Astyanax mexicanus: one gene and its partner. Each later gene encodes a partner of the first gene's protein in a complex. Links are inferred from orthologs where the notes say so. Each region holds a gene or a part of one and is shown in the gene's direction. Other genes may lie near its edges.

Region 1 (11,545 bases):
CTGGTACTCATTTCCTGCTATAATGAAAGGCTGGATAGAGCGAGTGCTAACCCGGGGCTTCGCCTACACTCTGCAGAACACGTATGATAATGGCTTGTGTAAGGTACGTGCTGTTCCATTTCTCAGCCAATCATTATTTGTCTACTGTAGAGCAGTGCTCTCCTGTTCTCGGGCCTGGAGATCTGTTATCTTGCAGCACAAATAAAACAATAATTCAGTTAATCGAATACATCTGAAGGCAGTAAATACTATTATGGATATATGCATTAAGGCAAAGCTCCAGAATCAGTGTTGGTGACCTTTTAGAACGATTAAGCTTCAAAATAATCATGAAGTCAGATTGTAAAACTGTACAAAAATTTGGTTAAAACCAGACTTTGCTTAATTCACACTGTAGGATAAAAAAGCCTTGCTTTCATTCACAACTGGAGCACCGGAATGCAAGTACGAACCTGATGGTATCAATGGAGACGTCAATGTGATGCTATGGCCCTTACAGGTGAGAACCTATACTGTATAAGTACAGAACAACAGAAATGTACAGAAAATGTTGGCTCAAAAAGGAAAATGCGTTCATTGCAGACATTATAAACCAAGAAATGTCATGTTTTGTCTGCTTAACTTAATTTTGCTTGTTAATAGACATCCATTCCTGCATTTCAGGCCTGCAAAACATTCCAAAAAAACATTGGGCTGGTAAAACATTTATAACTTTGTAATGTTGCCATCCCTTCTCACAACACTTTTGGCACTGAGGTTACTAAGCAATAAAATGGTTCAGATGACATTCTTAAGGTGGCTAACAGTTGCTGTATTCTTTGTTTTAAAATTCTCTGTATAAACTCATAGCCACTCAGAGAGAGCAAGGCCAGTTGTGCTCTTTCAGGGCTCTTGCAGCTGATGGCAAGCTGCATGACCGGGATTCGGACCAGTAATCTCCTGATCATAGTGGCAGTGCTTTAGACTACAGGACCACTCGGCGCCCCATGGATACTGCTTTTATACTAAATCATGATTTCAGACAAATGTTGATATTACCTCATTATTTAGTTATTTTACATTGTTATAGTCCTTAATTGCTTGGTCCTGACTTTTGTCCTAGATGTATTGAAGACCTGAAATTAAGGGATGGATGTATATTATTTACTAAAATGTTGACCATACAAAACAGAAATTTCAGAAATTAATATTTGGTGGAATAACCCTGGTTTTTAATCATAGTTTTCATGCATCTTGGCATGTTCTCCTCCACCAGTCTTACACACTTTATGCTTTTGGATAACTTTATGCTGCTCACTCCTGGTGCAAAAATTCAAGCAGTTCAGCTTGGTTTTATGTCTTGTGATCATCCATCTTCCTCTTGATTATTTTCCAGAAGTTTTCAATTTGGTTCCAATCAAATAAGAGTCAATTTAAATGTAAGATATATTATTTATTTCTCTTTCTTCTATTATTTTAATAATAATACAATCATATCTTGCAGAATGGAGTTCTGCACTTTTGTGGGTTTCAGGTTCTGGCTCCTCAGATCTTCTGGGGTCCTGCTCGTGCCTCCCCCTCTGACAGAGCAGCCATGCTGGAGTCCTGGCAGGCGAGGCTGAAGGGTCTGCTGGAGGAAAAGAAAGTGGCCTTTGCTTCTGGTAAGCTGTTTGACCTGAGCCTCCAAGCAGGGTTTAAACTGAGGCCTGAGGTGAAGGAAGAGTATCGTTCTAAATCATACGGCCTCACCACCGGGCAGCACCTCGGCAAACCCCTCCCCCCAGACAACCAGACCAAGGCTTCTTCTGCATGTGATCCCTCAGCATCAGCGAAACACTCACAAAAGAAAGTCTGAGTCACTGACGACTTCTGATACTGAATGTAATTTTTTAAAGATAAATTTGAGCTAATTACTAAAAACAGTAGTGCTTTTATGTTGTGATTACCCATATATATGTTTGTTTTTTGCAACAATGTTTTGTTTTGCATCATGTAGATTTGTGTTCATTACTCACTGATCTGATAATAAAGAAATAAATGATTTGATGTGATATTCAATGTTCAATGTAATTTTTAGATCTTCTAAACATAATGACTTTAAAACACACTGACTATCCAAAAGTCATAGAACAGCAGTATATAAATTGATCATGTTACCTCTGCAGAGGTGTCAAGTAATAAAGCTTTGGTTTCCTTACTTAAGTAGAAATATTGGTTATCTAAACTTTATTAGAGTAATTACTAGATTATTAATAATACCTTAGTGGACTTTAACTTCTACTCCTTACATTTTAAAAATAGCCTTGCTACTCCTATTTCACTTCAGCCTGTTTTCATTGTGATTTTTTATCAAAAATCCATAAAAACCATATCAATCTCTCCATCCGGATGGAGTGAATCTGATTGTGGTTGGATTATAGTGCACTATAGAGCATTATCTGGCTAGAACTGTCCAATTTCTTTAATGCAATGGCTTTATGTAAATGTGCCTTCCATTTTTCAAAGTTGAAGACAAACCTAATTAAACATCTACACTGACCTCACTCTGCACTTCATTCATTATTTGTGCTGCTGAGGTGTCTTAATGGCAACCTGCACTTAATTATTCATGTGTAGAGGGCTATCTACCCCCTGTTTACTAACTGCTCAGGCGATCACAGGTTTTATGTCATATTCAGGTCTGTTTCTATTGTTCAAGTAGAAAGATACAGTTACTTATTTATTACTTATTAATGGTAAAGGAGTGCTCGTGCTGCCCCAGATGGGATTTAAACCAGTGGAAAATAGGGCCTTAAAAATGGTGGGAAAGCCAAACAAATGAAATGCCAAAGATTATGTGTTAAAACAAAAGAAAGCCGTAAAACTACAACTACAATACTGGAACTTTACACTTAACAGAAATAAAGCTCTGGAAAAAAATAAAGGGCCACTTAACAATGATAAGTTTCTTTGATTTTACCTAATTGAAAACCTCTGGAATACAATCAAGATGAATGATCACACGCCATTAAACCAAGCTGAACTGCTTGACTTTTTGCACCAGGAGTGACAGTTATTCAAAAGCAGTGTGTAAGACTGGTGGAGGAGAACATGCTAAGATGCATTAAAATGTTTTCTTTGCATTAATTGAGGTCTGAACGCTCTTATCTGTTGATTCAGCCATTTCTTGTTTTTTGCAAATAAATGCTTTAAATTACAATATTTTTATTTGGAATATGGAAGAAATGTTGTCCTTATTTTATAGAATAAAACAACAATGTTCATTTCACTCAAACATAAACATATAAATCTCTATTTTTTCCAGAGCTTACTGCTGGCTTTTAAACATGTGAGCTCAACTTAAAGTTGTGCAGTTCAGCTCTTTATCAACACAAAACAACTGTCTGTCTTTTCATATTTTATTTGCATTGGCCAGCTCTTTAGTAGACTCGCCCTGATAGTTTATCTTTCTTTTGTTTTCTTAATCTTTTCTTTCGTATTTTTTCTCTTCTTTTTTCTCTTTCCTTTTTTTAATATATTCTGTTTTTTCTGTTACCCACGGTTACTGGTCACCCCTCTACAAATGTGCGACAGAGAACTAGGGTTTGACTGGGGGTTTCATACTGTGTCCCACAGCTGAGCCTGGTCAGTGCTGATTATCGCTGGGGATTCTGGGATTTGGAGTTTTGTTTGGCCCAGATCCACCAGCTCTTCCACTGCAGCGTCCATGACCTCTGCTGGTGGCTGGTGGTACATGCAGCTTTCTTACATACTGCAGATTTTTTATTCCTTTTATTACTCCAGTAGAAGAGTGTAAATGAGAGAGAACAACATAATAGCTGATTAGCTTGTCTACTGACTAGCTGGTCTACTGTTATACATTTCCTAAAGCAAAATAACTTTCTGAAATTCCTGTCAGAGAGGGAATGCTTTTTGATTCAACATGATCAGTTATATAATCAAAGTTCGATTAAAAGCTGATTAGCCCTTAAATAGCTGAAAACCATATATGTAAATATCATTGTATATTGCACTTCAGGTAAGATGCTAATTGCATTTAATTGGCTCTGAAACTGTACTCTAAAAAATGACAATAACTTTGAATATATCCTATTCTGACACTTTTGTGTTTACAGCATAGTTGTTTTATACAAAAGCAGTCTAACGAGTTTTAGATATATTTTTCACAATTTAGGCATTTAAATGTTTATTTAGCTATTTAACAAAATATTGAACTATTTAAATATGTAGAGAATTTTAAAGTAATGTATTGGGTAACACAAAGGCAAACTTAATTAAACATCTATATTCAACCTCACTCTGCACTTCATTTATAATTTGTGCTGTTGAGGTGTCTGATTGGCTCCTGGCACTTAATTATTCATGAGTACAGGGCTATCTACCCTCTGCTTACCATCCTCTCATGGGAAACATTGTCTGACAGCTTTCTATTCTTCAAATGAAATAATATAATACTGTTAAATATAAAGTTTTACAATATTGCTTGGTGCACAAAAATAAAAAAAAAATAAAAATGGGGAAAACTATTTGAGGTTAAATATTTAAATTAAGTACACAGAAACAAAATATATATCAGAAACACAACAAAACAAAACCATAAATTGTTAAAGTTAAATCATATAATCATATAATAGTTAAATATAAAGTTAAATATATAAGTTAAAGAAAATATTCCGCCAGCTTTATAGCCTATTAAAAATTAATACTCACTTTAATGAAAAATGTCAATGCCTTAATTTAAATTTAAATGTATAAATACAATTAGAAAATTATTTACCAATCAAAAATAATAATTAAACTTAACCAGGCAGCATTGTGGACATTGTATTTGTTATTACTTAATTATATTTAGAAAATGTGTGTTGATTCAGAGTAAATGTTGAGAAATGTATTGTTAGACAGTGTTTGAATGGAATTTAAAACCAAGTATTTACTTTCACATGAGCCATAAACCAGGATACAGTGTACAGTGATACAGTGATACAGTTTTTTAATATTCTAAGCTGAACAGAGGGACCATTAAAACAGGCGAAAATTGCATTTTATGGCCACTATGTCAAAGATATGTTTGTAACAGGTAACAAACACCTTCCACAGCCAATCACAGCACAGGAGCTGAGAGACCACCAGAGCCCGTTAATAAAGAGACTGCCCACTTTATATTCCCCCCTTTATATGAAACCGCTAGAGGGAGCCCGCGAGCGAGTCGGAAATGAATGGGGTGAATGGAGCTAAATTAAATATCCATTTGATCACTTGATTGTTTGAATTATATAAAGCTAAATGGTATATTTAGCTAAATATGACATTAACACCAAAATATATATTTTACTTTTTCTCTAGTAAACGGGTTTTAGGCAGTAAAGGTGCTGCATTACTGCTACTGTGAGCTGTGAGACTGTATGGTGAGCTGATGCTAAAGTTACAGCCAGAGCACACAGAGTTTAAATTGGCTTATACATAGAGTTTTAAAGCTTTAAAACGTATATAAATCATATATAAAATACTTTACTTTCCACGGTAAAGTAAAATCCTGGTTAAAACGTTAATTACTATTTTTAATTTATGTTTGTAGCTGATTAGCTCCATTCACTCCCATGTATTTTGGGCTCCCTCTAGCGATAGTTATCAGATATGACAGTAGAGAGATGGGGGAGTGAGCAGGGGATAGAGGGAGAATGTGAGGATGGGGGCATGAGGGATGGGGAGGTATGGATTGGGGTTGGGGGGGAAAAGGAGGGTTCTGGGCGGGGATGTCTGTGCGTGATCACGCACGGGAACGTGGTTACGCCGCGTGTCATGGCTGCGCCAGCGCGTCATTTGTTCCAGCGCAGTCACCGGCGCGCTGAGCGGAGCGCTCCTCCCAACCCCCGGCAGATCCGCTACCCGCTATACCGCTATCCCCGCCCCGCTATACCGCTCTGTACCGCTCTGTACCCGGGGAACCGCGGGCTGCGAACCGCAGCTACACAAAGAGCCCTGTCTGTCCTTCAGCTTCAGCAGGAAAACCCCAAAACACAGCCCTGCATGGTGAGTACTGTACTGCCTTACTCTACTGTACTCTCATTTACACTGATTTATTCTGTACTATACACTCATTTACACTGATTTACACTAAATATACACTATATACTCATTTACACTGATTATACACTGTACACTGATTTATACTGTATTATACACTCATTATACGCTAATTTACATTGATTATACACTGATTTTACACTGATTATACACTGTACTATACAATATACACTGATTATACACTATACACTAATTTACACTATACGCTGATTTGTACTGATTATACATTGTACACTGTTTATACACTGTTATACACTCATATCCAGACTGTACACTGATTTGCACTATACAATGATTTGTACTTATAATACACTACACTGTTTATACACTGTTATACACTCATATCCAGACTGTACACTGATTTACACTATACACTGATTTGTACTGATTAGACATTGTACACCGTTTATACACTGTTTATACACTGTTATACAGTCATATCCAGACTGTACACTGATTTATGCTATACACTGATTTGTACTGATTATACATTGTACACTGTTTATACATTGTTCTGCACTCATATCCAGACTGTACACTGATTTATGCTATACACTGATTTGTACTGACTATACATTGTACACTGTTTATACACTGTTGTACACTCATACACAGACTGTACACTGAATTACACTGATTATAGACTGCACTACACACGGATATACACTAAATGTACACTGCACACTGTTTATATGCTGTCTATGCACTGTTGTACACTGATTTACACTGCACTATAAACTAATTCACACTATACACTGATTATACACTAATTATACACTGTTTTTACTGCATTTACACCCATTTACACTATACTGATTATACACTACACTGATTGATATCATACTATACACAGATTTACACTACACACTGATTAAACACTAATTAAACTCTATTTATATACTACACACTGATTTATACTGTACAATTTACTCATTTATACTTGCTGGTTATACACTGATTAACACTATACACTGATTTATATTGTACTATATATATATATATATATATTACTATAGACCATACACTGATTCATACTGATTTATACTTTACTATTCACTGTACTACTGTACCGTGTCCTTTTTCCTACAGAAAACTCACACAGTTCTGTACAAAATAGTACACAATAGTAGCCCATGTGGAGAAACTCGTCCACATGTTTTGGTTTAGAAATGAAAGCAACATTTTAAAAATGTTTTTCATGCTGGTTCTTCATGCTCATGTTTGGTTGTAGACTTTACATTACATTATAATTAATCCTAACTCACCGGCTCTATTCTTACCAGTTTTAGTCCCTTTCAGAACGTGGCATTTAGGGGCCCTGTCACTTTTATGCAAATGAGCTTTAGCTGACCACGCCATGTATACGGTGAGCGTTTACTGTATGTTAGTGGTAACTTGTGCTTAATGGCAAATAGGGTTGCAGCGGTAACCGGTTTCACGGTATACCGTGGTATTAAAATGCACGGTTATCATACCGTGTGTGTTTGCTTATTACCGGTAAAACGCAAGCCAGCGGAGAAAGTCACCCGCGCATGCGCAACTCTGCTCCGCTTCAGCTACTCAGCACACAGCGGTGAGAATGGCAGAAAGTGCATCAGACTAGAGCCTAGATTCTCTGCCCGAACCAGACCTGACCCGAGGACCGACCCGAAATCAGGTCCGTTCGGGCCGAGATTTCCCACCACATTCCTCGGGCCGGGTCGGGTTGGGCTCCAGAAAATAGTCTGAGATGTAGGCATCTGTTTTTTAATTATATATTTTATTTTTAAATAAAGCTCTGGTGTGATAATCACAATGTTAATGCTAAGTAACCAATTATTATTGTTAATGAAAACGAACCAAATAACGAAAACTGAAAGTGAAACTTAACTAACCTATTTATAAGCGCTGTTTTCACTCCCGCAGTTCTGCAGCGGGAGGTGTTGTGCCGATTCTGTCCGCGAAGCGGGAGTCGGATTGAGCAGGGAGTCGGATTCGGCATAACAGCGGCAGCGCGGCTGCACCTCGCGGTCCGCGGTGTTAGTTGTAAGCGCTCGCGCTAGCCGCAAAATACGACAGAAAACACTGAGAAACTGCAGAATTATGAATTGGACTAAAATGAGCACGAGGAGATAAAAGAGAACCTTTACCTGTGAGTAGCTCACATCAGAACACGCAAATCTCTCTCTCTCTCTCTCTCTCTGTGTCTCTCTCTCTCGCACGTGAACTTCTCCGCACTGTGTTTAGCTGTTCTTAAAAATCATTTTTATTAAATAATAGTTCTATGCTTCTATGTTAGTGTTAATTAACATAATTCTGATCATATTTCGCTCATTCAAACAGCCTGAAAACAGACTTGTAATCTTGTAATCAACAAGCTTGTAATCAATGTGGCCGTAGTCACAGCTAAAGGAGGAAATACATCAAACCTGTTCTCCCATCTCCGAGAACACCACCCCGCTGTGCAGCGCAAAGTATGTGTTCAGTTTATAATTTTACCTAAATAACCTAAATAAAACTTCTTTGTAGTCGTGCACAACCCATGCGGTAATTTATTTAGTTATCCGAAATTTGGGCACGCAGGTACAGGCGTGAAGTGCGTGCTACGATGGATTCACGTGTCCGTGTAAAGGTCCTGGCCGGACTGGATGTGAAAGACGCCATTCATTTACATGCGTTAATTTTCAAATTCTGACGTGCCTGTTTTTCATATGTTGAAGGTTTTAAGGTGTGAAAGCCTTAAAATAGAAATCTCTATTGTGAGGATCATGTCAGAAATAAATCCCCTCTTTCTGCAGTATCTGGTTATATACCAACTTTTTTTATATATATATACACTCTTAATGCCCTTAAAGGGGACATGAAACATTTCAGTTTGTACAAGTTTTCTAAGGTATTAAATATAATGGAATTTACTTGGGGGGGATTTTTTTATATAAAATGTTTACACACTAAATTATAATATATTTATGTTTGTTATGTTTGAGCTAGGGCGCCGCCATGTTGCCCGTGCAGCACTGGTGACGTCACGAGGTTGGTTGGTTTAAGATCCCAGGCATATAACTAGAGGAAAAGAGCTTATTGTTTGTCGAGATTATGGATGAAGACGAAGCTGAACTAGGCTAACATGGAGCATTTGCTCAGAGATCTTTCCTGTATAAACCTGAGCAGAACTTTTCAGATGCTTTTCTGAGAGCGAGACGTTTTGGGAGTGTTTATTCTCTCTCTACGTGGAGCCGTGCAGAACCCTGCAGCGCGTCCACAGCAGGTACTACCATCCAGTTAACCAGCTATTTTATATACATTTAGCTATTTAACATGCAAAGTCCAGAGTCTATTAAGACTGAATGAAACGAACATGATTTAAGTGGATATTGAAACATCCAGGCGCTGTTTGGTTGATAAACCGTTCAGTTTAGAAGTTAGAAAGCTTACTGGGTTACTTAGCTTCATCTAGTTAGTGTTAGCTAGTTAGCTAGCGTTGGCTAGCTAGAATAAGATAGCTAGCTAAGTAGCTAACGCTAGCTATGTTATCTTTAAATTGTCATTTTATCTAGATTTTCGGTAACGGTACCTCTCGCTGCTCTGCTGGGTGGGCGTGTTGTTTGGCTGGTGCGGCTCACAGCTGCTGCTCTCATAGTAACTTTACCATCAGTCGGACGGTCTGTACATTCCAGCTGATCAGAGGAAAAATAAAAAACGGTGGAAAAAAGCCTCGGACTTCAGCTTATTTATCCGGCTCTAATGCTCCTGACTCAAACCCCTCTCCTTCACATAGTCCTGGTCTAGAAAGTGCTCGCCACTAACCCCTAGCAGCTAACCGGAGGATTCTCACGCTTCAGCGCTGCGAGCCCCGCTGAAGGTATGAAAGTGAAAGTAAATATTTCTCATTCCTCACCCTATTAAAATTCACTACTCCCAGTATTACTACACACAGGGGCAATACAAAAGTGCCCCCCCGCTCTGCATTGAGTTTTGGTTTGGATTTTATTATTTATTGAGGAGCTAAATTACAGTATTCTCATAGATCATAGTAGTGAGGCGTGCGAGAACCAACCTCGTGACGTCACTTTCAGCGCTGGGACAAGATGGCGCTGCCCTTACTTAAAAAAATGACATTTAGATTGCTTATTATTTTAATTCCGCTTCACTGACAACTGTTAAACTTATAAAATTTGTTAGAGTGAAAATACATCTTGTGAATTAAACGAAATACTTGAAGTGTTTCATGTCCCCTTTAAGAGTAGTGGGAAAACATGGTTTCCTTCACCTGATGGTGTAGTTTCTACAATAAATAGTTAATTGAACAAAAAAACTTTGTTGTAATTTCTTTAAGGGTCAGTTTAATAATATATGTAACAAACTGTGATACCGTGATAACCGTGATACCGCGGTATTTTCCGAGACGGTTATCATACCGTGAAAATCTCATACCGTTGCAACCCTAATGGCAAAACAGGAACAAGCTAGCTTGTGCTTAACTGTGATAGTAGAAAAAAAATCTTTATTTGAAAATGCTAGGATCCCTCCATCAGACAAAGTCTGCTTTGGTGAGGGGAGACAGGTGAGGGTGGCGCCAGGGTGGTTCTATGCAGGTTTTCGTATTGTGACATCGCAACAAGGGAGCATCAGAACAGCGCATAGAAGCACATGAGTCTTGAGACCAAACTCTTTTAGCTGACTCACTCTTATAATTCACGTTGACTTTCCGTGACGTCACTCACAAGATAACACCTCATAGGTTTGGGTGTTCCTAAGCCATTACCTGAGTTAACTCTTTAACACTTAATACCCAGTTTTCCATTACTTTAAGTATGACATATTGGTGCACAAAATTCCCTTTTCATTTAACCACAGTTTAGGCTTTATGCTGGTTTATGCCTTATGCGGGCTAAGCGCTGCCACCATGATTAGGAGATCGCCGGTTCAAATCCTGGTCATGTAGTTTGGCATCAGCTGCCAGAGCCCTGAGAGAGCACAATTGTCTTTGCTCTCTCTGGGGGGGTAGATGGCACTCTCACTACAATGGGTGGCATTGATCAGCACATGGCTTCTGTGAGCTGGTGTATCAGAACTGAGTCGCTGCGCTTTCCTCCGAGCGTTATTGCTGTGATGCTACTCATCAATGTGGCATCTGCAGCAGCTTGTGGCTGACCTTCCTGGTGTTGGGGCATTACTGGGTTGGGTAATTGGCCTACTAGGATACTAGGATAAATATTAAAAAAAGTTGGTATCAGTTCTAATGTATCCTGTGTGTCATTTTTTTCCCATCAGATTTCAAAACTGGCACAGCATCTGTTCTCTGGCGGGCATGTTTGCAGCAGGGTTTGACTGAGGTGGGCTTGCTGCGATGGTGCTGGATCTAGGGGAGGACTGTATGGAGCGGGCTAATGGGGAGGGCATGGCTGCTACTGGCCTAGATGTTCCAGAGGCAGAACCTAAACCAGAGAAACCCAAACCAGTTCGGGCCAGAGCCAGAACCAGCAGCATCACCCAGAGGGAG
Region 2 (12,562 bases), on another chromosome or scaffold:
ATATATTAAACCATTTAAGCTTCTAGTTTGTTCAGCTTCTTCTCAGAGTTTTCAATTCCACCTTAAATAGTGCAGTAGTTCCATTATGGCGCTGCAATATTTAAGGTGGAATTTTAAAATACTGATAAGAAGCTGTACAAACTTTAGCATAAACTGTGTTTCACCAGTATATAGTAAAATTATAATGACATAAATGGAGTAAACTTCATTTAAACTTACCATACTGATGTGGAAGGAGTGAACTACAACTTCTTTTACTGCGTAAAAACTTCGTTAAAACTTCGTAAAACAGCTCTCACGCTAAGACCGTTAGGAATCCGTTGTGAGGTGATGGTTTGAACTTCCTCAGAAACGCTGGTATTTATACTGGTGTCAGACAAGCCCCGCCCACCCGCGCGGGGACCGGTCACAAGACGAGAAGTTCATTTATCTGATAGAAGAACTGTTATTTAAATTAGTACATTTACTACAAATTATTATCTACAGTTAATATATTACTCAAGACTATATACGTGAGAGAGAGAAAGAAAGAGAAAAGTAAATAAAGAGAAAGAGAGAGAGAGAGAGAGAGAGAGAGAGGGAGAAAATGAGAGAGAAAAGTAGAGAGAAAGAGAGAGAGAAAAGTATAACGAAAGAGAAAAGTAAAGAGAGAAAAATAGAGAGATAGGTGGAGGAGAGAGGGAGAAAAGTAGAGAGAAAAAAGAGAGAGACAAGTAGAAAGAAAGAGAAAAAATTAGAGTTAGAGAGAAACATAAAGAGAGATTGAGAGGTATAGAAAAGTGTGGAGAGAGTGAGAGACAATTGTAGAGAGAAAGAGAGACATGAGTACAGAGCAAGAAAAAGAGAGAGTGAGATAGAAACGTAGAGAGATAGAGAGAGATAGGGAGAAATAGAGAGAGGATGGAGAGTGAGAGAGAAACATAGAGAGAAAGAGAGAGACAAGTAGAAAGAAAGAGAAAAAGTTAGAAAGTAAAATGAAAATAAAAAGTGATAGAGAAAAATAAAGAGGTGGGGAGAAAGTGAGAGGAAATAGTAGAGAGAAACAGAGAGAGAAAATTAGAGGGAAAGAGAAAAAGGGACAGAGTGAGAGAAAGTAAGGAGAGAAAGAAAAGTGTAAATGAGAAAAGTTGAGCGAAATAGAAAGAGAGACAAGAAGAGAGAGAAAACAGAGGAGGACATTTAGGACAAAAGGAGCCTATAGTGCACTACCTCCCTCATCAAAACACATTTTTCTAAAAGCCATAATGACTATAATGTTATATTAAAAAGTTAATGTTGGTAAATTTGGGATGCACTATACTCCATGTGAACCCATTGGGATTACTTGGATTTCTGCATAAATTGGTAATTAAATGTGTTCTGATCACAACAATAGACAAACACAGTATGCTTAAACTAATACCACACAAAAAATATATGTTTGTATGGTTTTATTGAACACATGTTAACATTCCTGAAAATCAGAACACATCGTACCTATTATACCTATTCATGTTTTTTTTTTACTTTTATATTGTTATTTAAATATGTCTGTATTTGGAGAAACTGCAAAGTAAGAATTACATTGTACAGTGTAACTACTTGTTTCTGCTGTGCATATGACAATGAAACACTTCAATCTTGAATAAACACATATATAGCAGTGAGCTATATATATGTCATATATATGTCAGTATAAAGAGCCTCCTATTTGACTCCAGGACACTGACTTCTAAGTGAGAAAGTGTGGGTGGCAAGTCAGCATTTTTTGATTTTCAGACACAGCCATAGTAAATTTTATATGTCTAATTATCCATGATCACTTTTTAAAATTATCAACAAGCATTACAGATTACTTTAACATTATTATAGAACAATTATGGATATATATGGATATATATATATATATATATATATATATATATATATATATATATATATATATATATATATATATATATATATATATAATATATGGATGCTAAAATATCATAAAAGGTGAAACACTGCTTTACTGTTGTAGCCTTTTTACAACTGTACTCAACAAAGTCATTCATTTGGGCAGCAACAGGTAAACAATTGTTTTACTGACTATTGGTAGGTGTTAGAGGAACACACTGTGTAATTACAAATTACTCCATGCCAATAGAGGGAGCCATAGTGTAACTCCTAACTGCAGATGGCAAGTCATTATTGAACTCCAGTAAACAATAGGTTAAAATAGCACAAGACAAAATTTATTAGGAATGGTTTTATTCAGGTTTTGACAGCAAATAACAGATTACACAATGCCAGAGAAATAACAATGACTTTCATAGACATACTGCTTAAGGAGTTTTGGACTACACTGAACCTAAACCACCAGAACTGTTCATGCCTGATATGCTGTCCACCATGCTGTGACAATGGCAGCAGCAGTCAGTCCCAAGAATAGGCCCTACTCGGTTCTTTCTAACACAATGTGGAGAGACATACAGGAACAATTTTAGGACGTTTAGTACTCCTCTCCCTCCTCCTCTCCCTCGCCTTCTACGGAATCAACGCCAACCTCCTCATAATCCTTCTCCAGAGCCGCCATATCCTCTCTGGCCTCAGAGAACTCTCCCTCCTCCATACCCTCTCCTACGTACCAGTGCACAAAGGCACGCTTGGCGTACATCAGGTCGAACTTGTGGTCGAGCCTGGCCCAGGCCTCTGCGATAGCTGTGGTGTTGCTAAGCATGCACACGGCTCTTTGGACTTTGGCCAGGTCACCGCCAGGGACCACAGTGGGGGGCTGGTAGTTGATACCAACCTTGAAACCAGTTGGGCACCAGTCCACGAATTGGATGGAACGCTTGGTCTTGATGGTGGCAATGGCGGCGTTGACGTCTTTGGGTACGACGTCACCACGGTACAGCAGGCAGCAGGCCATGTACTTGCCGTGACGTGGGTCACATTTCACCATCTGATTTGCAGGCTCAAAGCAAGCATTGGTGATCTCTGCCACTGAGAGCTGCTCGTGGTAAGCCTTCTCAGCAGAGATGACTGGGGCATAGGTGGCCAGAGGGAAGTGGATACGAGGGTAGGGCACCAAGTTGGTCTGGAACTCAGTCAGATCAACATTGAGGGCACCATCGAATCGGAGAGAGGCTGTGATGGAGGACACGATTTGACCGATAAGCCTATTGAGGTTGGTGTAGGTAGGACGCTCGATATCGAGGTTCCTACGGCAGATGTCGTAGATGGCCTCATTGTCCACCATGAAAGCACAGTCGGAGTGCTCGAGGGTGGTGTGGGTGGTCAGGATGGAGTTGTAGGGCTCCACCACAGCGGTGGACACCTGAGGAGCTGGGTAGATGGAGAACTCCAGTTTGGACTTCTTGCCGTAGTCCACGGAGAGGCGCTCCATCAGCAAGGAGGTGAAACCAGAGCCGGTACCACCTCCAAAACTGTGGAACACCAGGAAGCCCTGGAGACCAGTGCACTGGTCAGCCTAGAAGAGATACAGAATAGATTTGTTAAATTGTTAAATTGTCAGACTCAGATTAGGGTAATCAATAAATCTAACATAAAGTCCTCACCAGTTTGCGGATCCTGTCGAGAACCAGGTCGATGATTTCCTTGCCAATGGTGTAATGGCCACGAGCGTAGTTGTTGGCAGCATCTTCTTTTCCAGTGATGAGCTGCTCAGGGTGGAACAGCTGGCGGTAAGTGCCGGTGCGAACCTCGTCTGAGAGACAAGAGGACCAAGATGATGATGAAGCATCAGATCTAAGCTGATGGTACTAAACTGGCAGGTGATGAAATACAGTCATCATAACTGGGGAACTGCTTACCAATCACAGTGGGCTCCAGATCTACAAACACTGCTCTGGGGACGTGCTTGCCAGCTCCTGTCTCGCTGAAAAAGGTGTTGAAGGAGTCGTCCCCGCCACCGATGGTCTTGTCACTGGGCATCTGACCATCCGGCTGAATGCCATGCTCAAGGCAGTACAGCTCCCAGCAGGCATTGCCAATCTGGACGCCAGCCTGTCCAACATGGATGGAGATACACTCACGCTGTTGGAAGAAAAATGCCATTGAAGTCACTCAATTAAAATCACACATGAAAAAGATATATATAGGTCTGTCACGATAGTTACATTATCGACTTATCATACAAAATACAAGCATGACTTCAAATATTTTGCTAACCTCAAGATTGACCACAATTACTATATGGCTTTATTTTACATAAGAATTCATGTTACCAATAGTTGACAGTCAGGGGTAAAGAGGTGTTCCCTGAGGCTCCGATATTTGGTTTTAAAGTGACAGTCTGTAAGTTTCGAAGCTTTGGGGATTTAGTGGCCTCTCTGGTGAGAATGTGTAATTGCACAGAGCATGTGGAAAAGGAGCTGCTATTTAAATGCATGCTTTATGCAATACTCATAAGGGAAACTACACAAATTAATTCACTCAACGTTATTGTGCACACCTTTTTCAATTAAATGCTAGACTATGTTATATGTATATTTTGCGATATTTTGCTGGTCTGTGATATATATTGTGAAACGTATTAGATTTAGCCAAGAATGACTGTTCAAATAATAATGCCATAATATTAATAATGAACTGTGTGTAATATAAACTGGAGTAAAATTAATGATGTTGATTCAGATATAATGGTAATGCATGTTAAGCTATGGAAAAAAAAACAATGTCAATCATTGCTAAACTGATATATTGTGCACCCCTATTAGAATGGCAAGTGGAGTGTGTTTTAGGAATGCACTGTTGAACTTTATAACTTTAAAAATAATCAAAATAATATAAATTAGATAAAAAATTGATTTTAAAGTAGCAAAACCAGTCAATTGTAGTAGTATGCATAGCCAGTATTGCTAGGTCCTTTTCCAGCGTACAACAGATCCATCATCAAGTATAGGTTTGAAATATTGGCAATATTAATCGTGCTTCAATAAAAATGTGTATCCTTACAGTAGATTTGCTGTAGAAACTAGGCCTATGTATTTGTATCACTGTACATGTGTAAATCAGTATAAATTGAAATAAACAGCGTCCAGCATATTTAACATAAACAATGTGTGTATTACTTCGTAATAAGAATTGTATTCACAAATACTTAAAGCATTTTAAGTATTTATAATTTGTGACTATATTAACTATATGCAGGTTTCTGACTAATTGTTAAGAGACCACCTTAAATGTTTGTCTAAAATAATAATGATCCATATGCATGGAATATTGCAAAATAGTGGCTATAGACTTTTTTTTTATCATTAAAGAAATGGGCAGTTTTTGGCATTGCAATACCAGTTACACTGTCAAACCTGCTAGACAAGTGTATTAGTAAATTACTGAACAGTCTGCACATTTTGCATGATTCAGCATTATTGCAGTCTTTGAAATATGTGTCTGTATATTTCTGTCCAAATTATGCTCCAAAATTCTATGTACCAATATATTTTCAATTAAGTCTGATATGCTTGGTTTACTTGAGGCTTCTATAATAATATTATAAGTTTATAATTTCTAAATCTGGCATTATTAATAGCCAAACACAAGTAGCTACAAGACTAAATATATTCTGTCATTAAGTCAATTTAATTTTTAATCATTGTTTTTTTTCTACATTTCTCTAGTTGTGTTAAATCTCTTTGTGTCTGGGAACAATAAGGCAGAAGAAGCATGGTGCTGGACCCACCCTGATGCTGATCTTTAAAAGAATCAGCATTTTTCTAAACTCATCTTTAGTCTAAACCTAAACGTTTATTTCCACGTGTAAACGTCTAAAATCACAATATTGAAGGTATTTTTAATCTTATGCAGAAATAAAGTTGATATCTCACCATTTTGCCCTGTTTCTGGAGATGATGCTGACGCTGGAGAGATGGACGCGGTCCAGACAACGGGGGAAGCAGAGTAAAGAGGCGGCGCTCTTACTGAGCATGCGCGCAGGGATTTCTCCACCCGTTTTCCGGAGAGCCACGCCCTCCTGTGCTGACTGGGATTGACCAATGGTTATAGCGGACTCCGCGTTGGTGTGATCTACTAGCCAATTGCAGCGCGGTAAGGCGGGGCATATCGGAATACGGGTGGGTGAATGGAGCATTGATCCAGTATTTGGCGCAGCGAATATTAGTAGTAGGGTATTAGAGATTTACTGTAATAATCAGGTTTATACAACTATGATTGTACCACGGTGTGTATTAGTATATGTACAAATTAACATGCTAAATGTTTGTCTTAATTATAAAGTAATTATAATTACATTTGTCATACATTACATTTAAAAAACATGAAATAAATCTATATTTTTATTTAAAATTTCTTGTATTTGTTATTGTATTTTTCACAACAATCATATCTTATATTTAAGACATAATTCATTTTTAATTGGGGGCATTAATAGGTTTCTAAATATTTGACAGTCCACCTTAAATAAGCTGAGCAATATGATATTATCAGTCTCCACCCTGTGATTTTATGTTAGTTAAAATAATATTGTATGCATCTTCTTGTATGGAAAACTGCATCATAGTCACTGTACACCCACTTAATGATAGCAGTCATTCAGGGCATCCAGGAACAGTTTTTTGCACTGCAGTGCTAGTGCCAGTTACACCATCAGGATAAGTGAATTTATAACTAGTCTGCACTATTAATTTTGCATAATTTAGCATTGTAGCGTTATTATATATATTGTATATATGTTATATTATATTATATTATATCAGATTTCTTTTATTATTATTATTTGCTATATGTGTATGTGGTGTGTGTGGCCTCCAGGCCACCGCCCTTCTTTGTCTGGTCGTTTTTGCTGCAGCACAATGACGTCACCATCTGCAGTGCGCCACGTGATCAGCATCCCTCATCAATAATGGACCCGCCTGTCTGGTGCCTTTTTATTCCACTCAAAATCCCAGTTATAAATGTATTAACAGGTGTAACTAATTATCTATATTTTTTCATATTATTATCATAATGTAAACCTTTATGTGCCCATATGACTGGTTATTAATTAAAGATGATCTTCAGTAGTAAAAAAAAAGAAAAAACCTGGACTGATAGCTGCTTTATAGCATAAGCAGAATGTGCATCCTACATTTGTATTTGCAGAGCTTTATATAACAACAGATGAATGCAGGTAACATTTTTGAGCATGCACATATTACAAATATGCTTAATTTGCAGAGATACATGGAAATCCCCCATTCTGTATAAAAATCAGTCTTGAGCACACATGAATGAAATTTGTTTGATTATACATGTTTGTGCATTCTTGCAATATGCAATGTGGTGGAAACAAACTGAATTACAGTACAATCTCACTGTCTGTGTAAAAAATGCTATTTATGACCATATTGAGTGTGCAAAAATGTAAATTTGCTTGACTATACGTATTCATTTATTCTTGCTACATGCACTGTGTAGAAAACTAGGGGCATATACCAGTCTTCATATTAAATGCAGTTAGGGACCAATATTAAGCATGCACAAATGTAAATGTTCAAATCTGTGCAAATTAGTGCATTCCTTCAGCATGCATTGTGCAGAACTACAATGAAATTCCACTGTCTGCCATCTCAATGCCTCGTGTGCACGAGCCCAGCCCCCCTCGGGCCCGTGCCTTTATAAAGTGGTGCGCCACACCGACAGCAAGCAGTTACTGCATCGACTCTTAGCCGTCGACGAAGGTAACCAAACCGCATCAAGAAACCCAATTTCCCTTTGTGTGAGCTGACCATCTAAACATCTCAAAATGGTAAGTACACATATATATATATATTTTATATGATATTAATTGTATATATATATAAAAGTGTTTGTATGATGTAGAGACAGACATGTCTGAAATGACATAATATAATCTGAATTTATTAAATCCTATTTTTACACGCACCTAGTGAGCTATATGTTTTTATTAATCGGTTTGTTTTAATGGATTATTATTTATATAAGCTGCTTATTCTTATATTATCTAGTTAGGTTAGGTTAACGTTAGGCATATGATGTTCCCTGTCTTCTCTGGGCGATTTACTCAGTGTAACTTTATTACACGAGCTGTTACTGGTTTGAAAAGACAAATAAGTCAAAATGTTCTATATTGTATTCGCTCATTTTATCGCGCTAGTTTTGAATAGGGTCAATTTAGACGTCTGTAAGACGTGGGCGGAGCGCGTCCGTGCTTTTTCCTCTTCGTTTTTAAAATATATATATATATATTTGAATGTCGTAAGTTTTATGTGGCTAAAGCTATGAAATAACATTTATATATTTTCAGTAGTGTAATTTGACCTGTACATTACGTTATAGTTATAGGTGTATAGCTATATCAGCCCTGATAGCAAAGAACATCGAATAAACGTTGTTTTTGATGGAATTATTACATGATCTTTTTAGAGTGGTTAATGGATAAAAGCTAACTAGTTAGAAATATTAGCTCTCACATATGTTAAATATGATCTAGCAACCGCATTTCTATACAGCGCTAATTACATAGCTAATCTAGCTAAATAGATTCTCGGATGCGACGAATTGCCCGTTCCACCTTAATTCCTACATGTATCTAACATGCAGGCTGGCACCAAAATGCCATTGCTGTACCACTATTTAAGGTGGAACACTATCAAACCTCCTTTATTTGAATCGTGAAAGAGTTTATCGGGGTCAGAACTCAATTCTTTTGAAATGTAAATGCATTTCTCGGAGCAGTGGCTTCCCTAGAGCCTGTAAGACAGAAGGTTAGTCAGAAAAGCCGATTAGCATTTGTGGTTCTCTCTCAGTGTCTGTTCAGAACAGTGAGGAGAGGGAATGTCACAGGCTCCCCGCCGAGACCAGTGCGGGGGGATGGGGACACCCGCCCCTCAAAGACAATTACTGGCTTATAGCCTCACAGCTTTAACCACAATCAAACTTAGTCAAAACCTCCACATACCTCCAATTATCGTCGAATATTCGTGTTTATATAGCAACTGCAGGGTTTATTAGTTGCTACTTTCAGTATTTTAGTCCGAAACGAATGAATGAATGAATCTGAAAGAGAAACCCTGTTGCTAGGCAACGGGCATACTGTGCAAATCCCTTGGCAGCAGCTGGATGGAGTCTGAGACCGAGGAAGGATCCCTACATAGTGCACCATATATACCATATATATGGAAAAAAATAAGAGACCACTTAAAAATGACGAGTTTCTTTGATTTTACCAAATTAAAAGCCTTTGGAATATAATCAAGAGGAAGATGGATGATCACAGCCGTCAAACCAAGCTTAACTGCTTGAATTTATCCAAAAGCAGTGTGTAAGACTGGTGGGGGAGAGCATGCCAAGATGCTTGAAAACTGTGATTAAAAACCCGGGTTATTTTTGCATTGAGGTCTGAATTTTTTTTTTGGTTATTTCAGCCATTTCTAATTTTCTGCAAATAAAGGCTCTAAATGACATTAGTTTTATTTGGAATTTGGGAGAAATGCTGTCCGCATTTTATAGAATAAAACAACAATGTTCATTTTACTCAAACATATACCTATAAATAACAAAATCAGAGAAACGTATTCAGAAACTGAAGTGGTCTCTTGTTTTTTTTTTCAGAGCTGTAAGTGGTCTCCAGGCAAAAAGAATCCTCCTATACATGTTTTGTCACATACATGTTTTGCTATGTAGCCCATTATATATCTATAAATATTTATTTTTCACCTAGATAAAATACTTTATATTAATTTTTACACAAATAGTGTACTGCTCTGTAGTGTATTTGGTGTGTTCTAAGCATAGATAGAATGCATAATGCATAAATCTAAATGAATAAATACATTTATCAAATAATTATTCAAAGAAAAAGCAATTTCAAAGCTACTATGTAAAAAGATTTTGGGATGGGATTTTTTCAGACAGACTAGGCTGGAAAATGGAAATGAGGGCGTAGTCGAATGGAAGAAAGCAAGGGTGAGTGACGGGACATGGCGTGATTTGCACTACCCCCGCCCTTCTGCGGCACACACTGTGATCCTCGCTGCTAGTTCACTTGCTGTGCCAACATTTACGCCAAGCCAGGGACGGATCGAGGTCTTGCCAAGCCTGTGGGCACAAGTGACTTTAAAAGCCTCATTAATCTAAGTAGTGAAGCACTAGAAATATAAGTAGCCAAATATAGATAGATTTGTGTATGATTACAGTTGTGGACAGAGCCCCTGGGCATTGGCCTGTCTGGCCATAGCTTGAGTTTTTGCTAATGCCATCTTAAACTGTTCTGAACTGGATGCTGCTACAGCCTTGCGCCTTTATATATGATTAATGTAAAAGTTCTGTAGTCTGTACTACTGGAGTGGCTGTATTACTTTGCATTAAAAACATAATTTAATGTAGATTTGCAGGTCTGACTAGGGCTTTATCTGTAATCTTAAGCACATCATGGTCTTTATTTGCATGATCTGTTAGGACAGTTAAGATTGATGTTTGTCTTTATGTATGACTTGAATAACTGGTTCTTTTTCTTCCAACAGCGTGAGTGTATCTCCATCCACGTTGGCCAGGCTGGCGTCCAGATTGGCAATGCCTGCTGGGAGCTGTACTGCCTTGAGCATGGCATTCAGCCGGACGGTCAGATGCCCAGTGACAAGACCATCGGCGGAGGGGACGACTCCTTCAACACCTTTTTCAGCGAAACAGGAGCTGGCAAGCACGTCCCCAGAGCAGTGTTCGTGGATCTGGAGCCCACTGTGATTGGTAAGCAATTCTCCATTTATGATGACTGTATTAAATCACCTGTCTGTTTAGTGCTGTTAGATCAGATCTGATGTTTTATCATCATTAACTTGTTTCTATTGTCCTTCAGACGAGGTTCGTACCGGCACTTACCGCCAGCTGTTCCACCCTGAGCAGCTCATCACTGGAAAGGAAGATGCTGCCAACAACTACGCTCGTGGGCATTACACCATCGGCAAGGAAATCATCGACCTGGTTCTCGACAGGATCCGCAAACTGGTGAGGACTTTATGTTTGATAAGGTTTATGATCTGATTACTTAGATTAACAAATCTATTCTGTATCTTTTCTAGGCTGACCAGTGCACTGGTCTCCAGGGCTTCCTGGTGTTCCACAGCTTTGGAGGTGGTACCGGTTCTGGTTTCACCTCCTTGCTGATGGAGCGCCTTTCTGTCGACTACGGCAAGAAGTCCAAGCTGGAGTTCTCCATCTACCCAGCTCCACAGGTGTCCACCGCTGTGGTGGAGCCCTACAACTCCATCCTGACCACCCACACCACCCTCGAGCACTCCGACTGTGCTTTCATGGTGGACAATGAGGCCATCTACGACATCTGTCGTAGGAACCTCGATATCGAGCGTCCTACCTACACCAACCTCAACAGGCTGATCAGCCAGATTGTGTCCTCCATCACCGCCTCCCTCCGATTCGATGGTGCCCTCAATGTTGATCTGACCGAGTTCCAGACCAACTTGGTGCCCTACCCTCGTATCCACTTCCCTCTGGCCACCTACGCCCCAGTCATCTCCGCTGAGAAAGCTTACCACGAGCAGCTCTCAGTGGCAGAGATCACCAATGCTTGCTTTGAGCCTGCAAATCAGATGGTGAAATGTGACCCACGTCACGGCAAGTACATGGCCTGCTGCCTGCTGTACCGTGGTGACGTCGTACCCAAAGACGTCAACGCCGCCATCGCCACCATCAAGACCAAGCGTACCATCCAGTTCGTGGACTGGTGCCCAACTGGTTTCAAGGTCGGTATCAACTACCAGCCCCCCACTGTGGTGCCCGGCGGTGACCTGGCCAAAGTCCAGAGAGCCGTGTGCATGCTTAGCAACACCACAGCTATCGCAGAGGCCTGGGCCAGGCTCGACCACAAGTTCGACCTGATGTACGCCAAGCGTGCCTTCGTGCACTGGTACGTAGGAGAGGGTATGGAGGAGGGAGAGTTCTCTGAGGCCAGAGAGGATATGGCGGCTCTGGAGAAGGATTATGAGGAGGTGGGTGTTGATTCCATTGAGGGTGAGGGAGAGGAGGAGGGAGAGGAGTATTAAACAAGATGTTCTCCCAACCCAGTCACTAGTATGCTATCACACATCAGGAGATTTTCAGCACTGATCCAGTAGTATGAGAGCATTCTCACACAGTCCTGCTTTCTCTTATAAATGTTCAGTTTATCTGAAGTCTGTTCACTGATGCTATGATGTGTTGATGATGGGATGTCATGTTGATAGAAATGGTTTTCAACTTGCTGTTATACTCTTGCTCTCCTGAGAAAGATAAACACACTTGTCTGTCATCTTCTGACTGTGATGCACAATAAATTATTGAGGGAAAATAATGTATTTTGTCTGTTTTTTTTTTTAAATATATAAAGATATTGCACACAAATCCCATACCCATACAATATTTTTTTTTACTTTAATTACTTATTTAAATTTCCCTGCCGAATAAGCAGATTTTTTTCTGGAGCAGTTTGTGGTATACACGAGATCTGGTCTTGATCCGACCCAGCTATCAAATATACTTTTTTAAATTGAGCTACACTGCTGATTAGGTGCAATGCATTCTTATATATAAGCCAGATAATATTCTGCCATAAACAAACGGT

Evidence for each region.
Region 2: the proteins of kiaa0895l (region 1) and tubulin alpha-1B chain are in contact, whole or in part, in a cryo-EM structure (PDB 7Z6S), measured with the Homo sapiens proteins. The link is inferred for Astyanax mexicanus from reciprocal best matches to the Homo sapiens genes MATCAP1 and TUBA1B. Residues at the interface, in NP_001035805.1 of Homo sapiens: Lys219, Cys220, Trp223, Val226, Arg227, Gly237, Glu238, Val239, Val240, Val241, Gln242, Leu243, Met253, Met254, Val255, Glu256, Asn257, Ser258, Arg259, Pro260, Thr261; in NP_006073.2 of Homo sapiens: Asp345, Trp346, Arg422, Glu423, Ala426, Ala427, Glu429, Lys430, Asp431, Glu433, Glu434, Val435, Gly436, Val437, Asp438, Ser439, Val440, Glu441.

Annotation. Positions count from the first base shown.
Region 1 is NC_064423.1:32,457,117-32,468,661, forward strand, and holds the start of kiaa0895l (uncharacterized protein KIAA0895-like), read left to right. Parts: upstream 1-5,781; 5' UTR 5,782-6,009; intron 6,010-11,316; 5' UTR 11,317-11,392; coding exon 11,393-11,545. Other genes in the region: NAD(P)H dehydrogenase [quinone] 1, read left to right, coding at 1-103, 398-499, 1,484-1,834. UniProt on the Homo sapiens protein: Tyrosine carboxypeptidase that removes the C-terminal tyrosine residue of alpha-tubulin, thereby regulating microtubule dynamics and function. Also able to remove the C-terminal phenylalanine residue of alpha-tubulin TUBA8.
Region 2 is NC_064431.1:14,467,663-14,480,224, forward strand, and holds tubulin alpha-1B chain, read left to right. Parts: upstream 1-7,594; 5' UTR 7,595-7,729; coding exon 7,730-7,732; intron 7,733-10,469; coding exon 10,470-10,692; intron 10,693-10,801; coding exon 10,802-10,950; intron 10,951-11,024; coding exon 11,025-12,005; 3' UTR 12,006-12,292; downstream 12,293-12,562. Other genes in the region: tubulin alpha-1C chain, read right to left, coding at 220-222; tubulin alpha-1A chain, read right to left, coding at 2,474-3,454, 3,543-3,691, 3,798-4,020, 5,814-5,816. UniProt on the Homo sapiens protein: Tubulin is the major constituent of microtubules, protein filaments consisting of alpha- and beta-tubulin heterodimers. Microtubules grow by the addition of GTP-tubulin dimers to the microtubule end, where a stabilizing cap forms.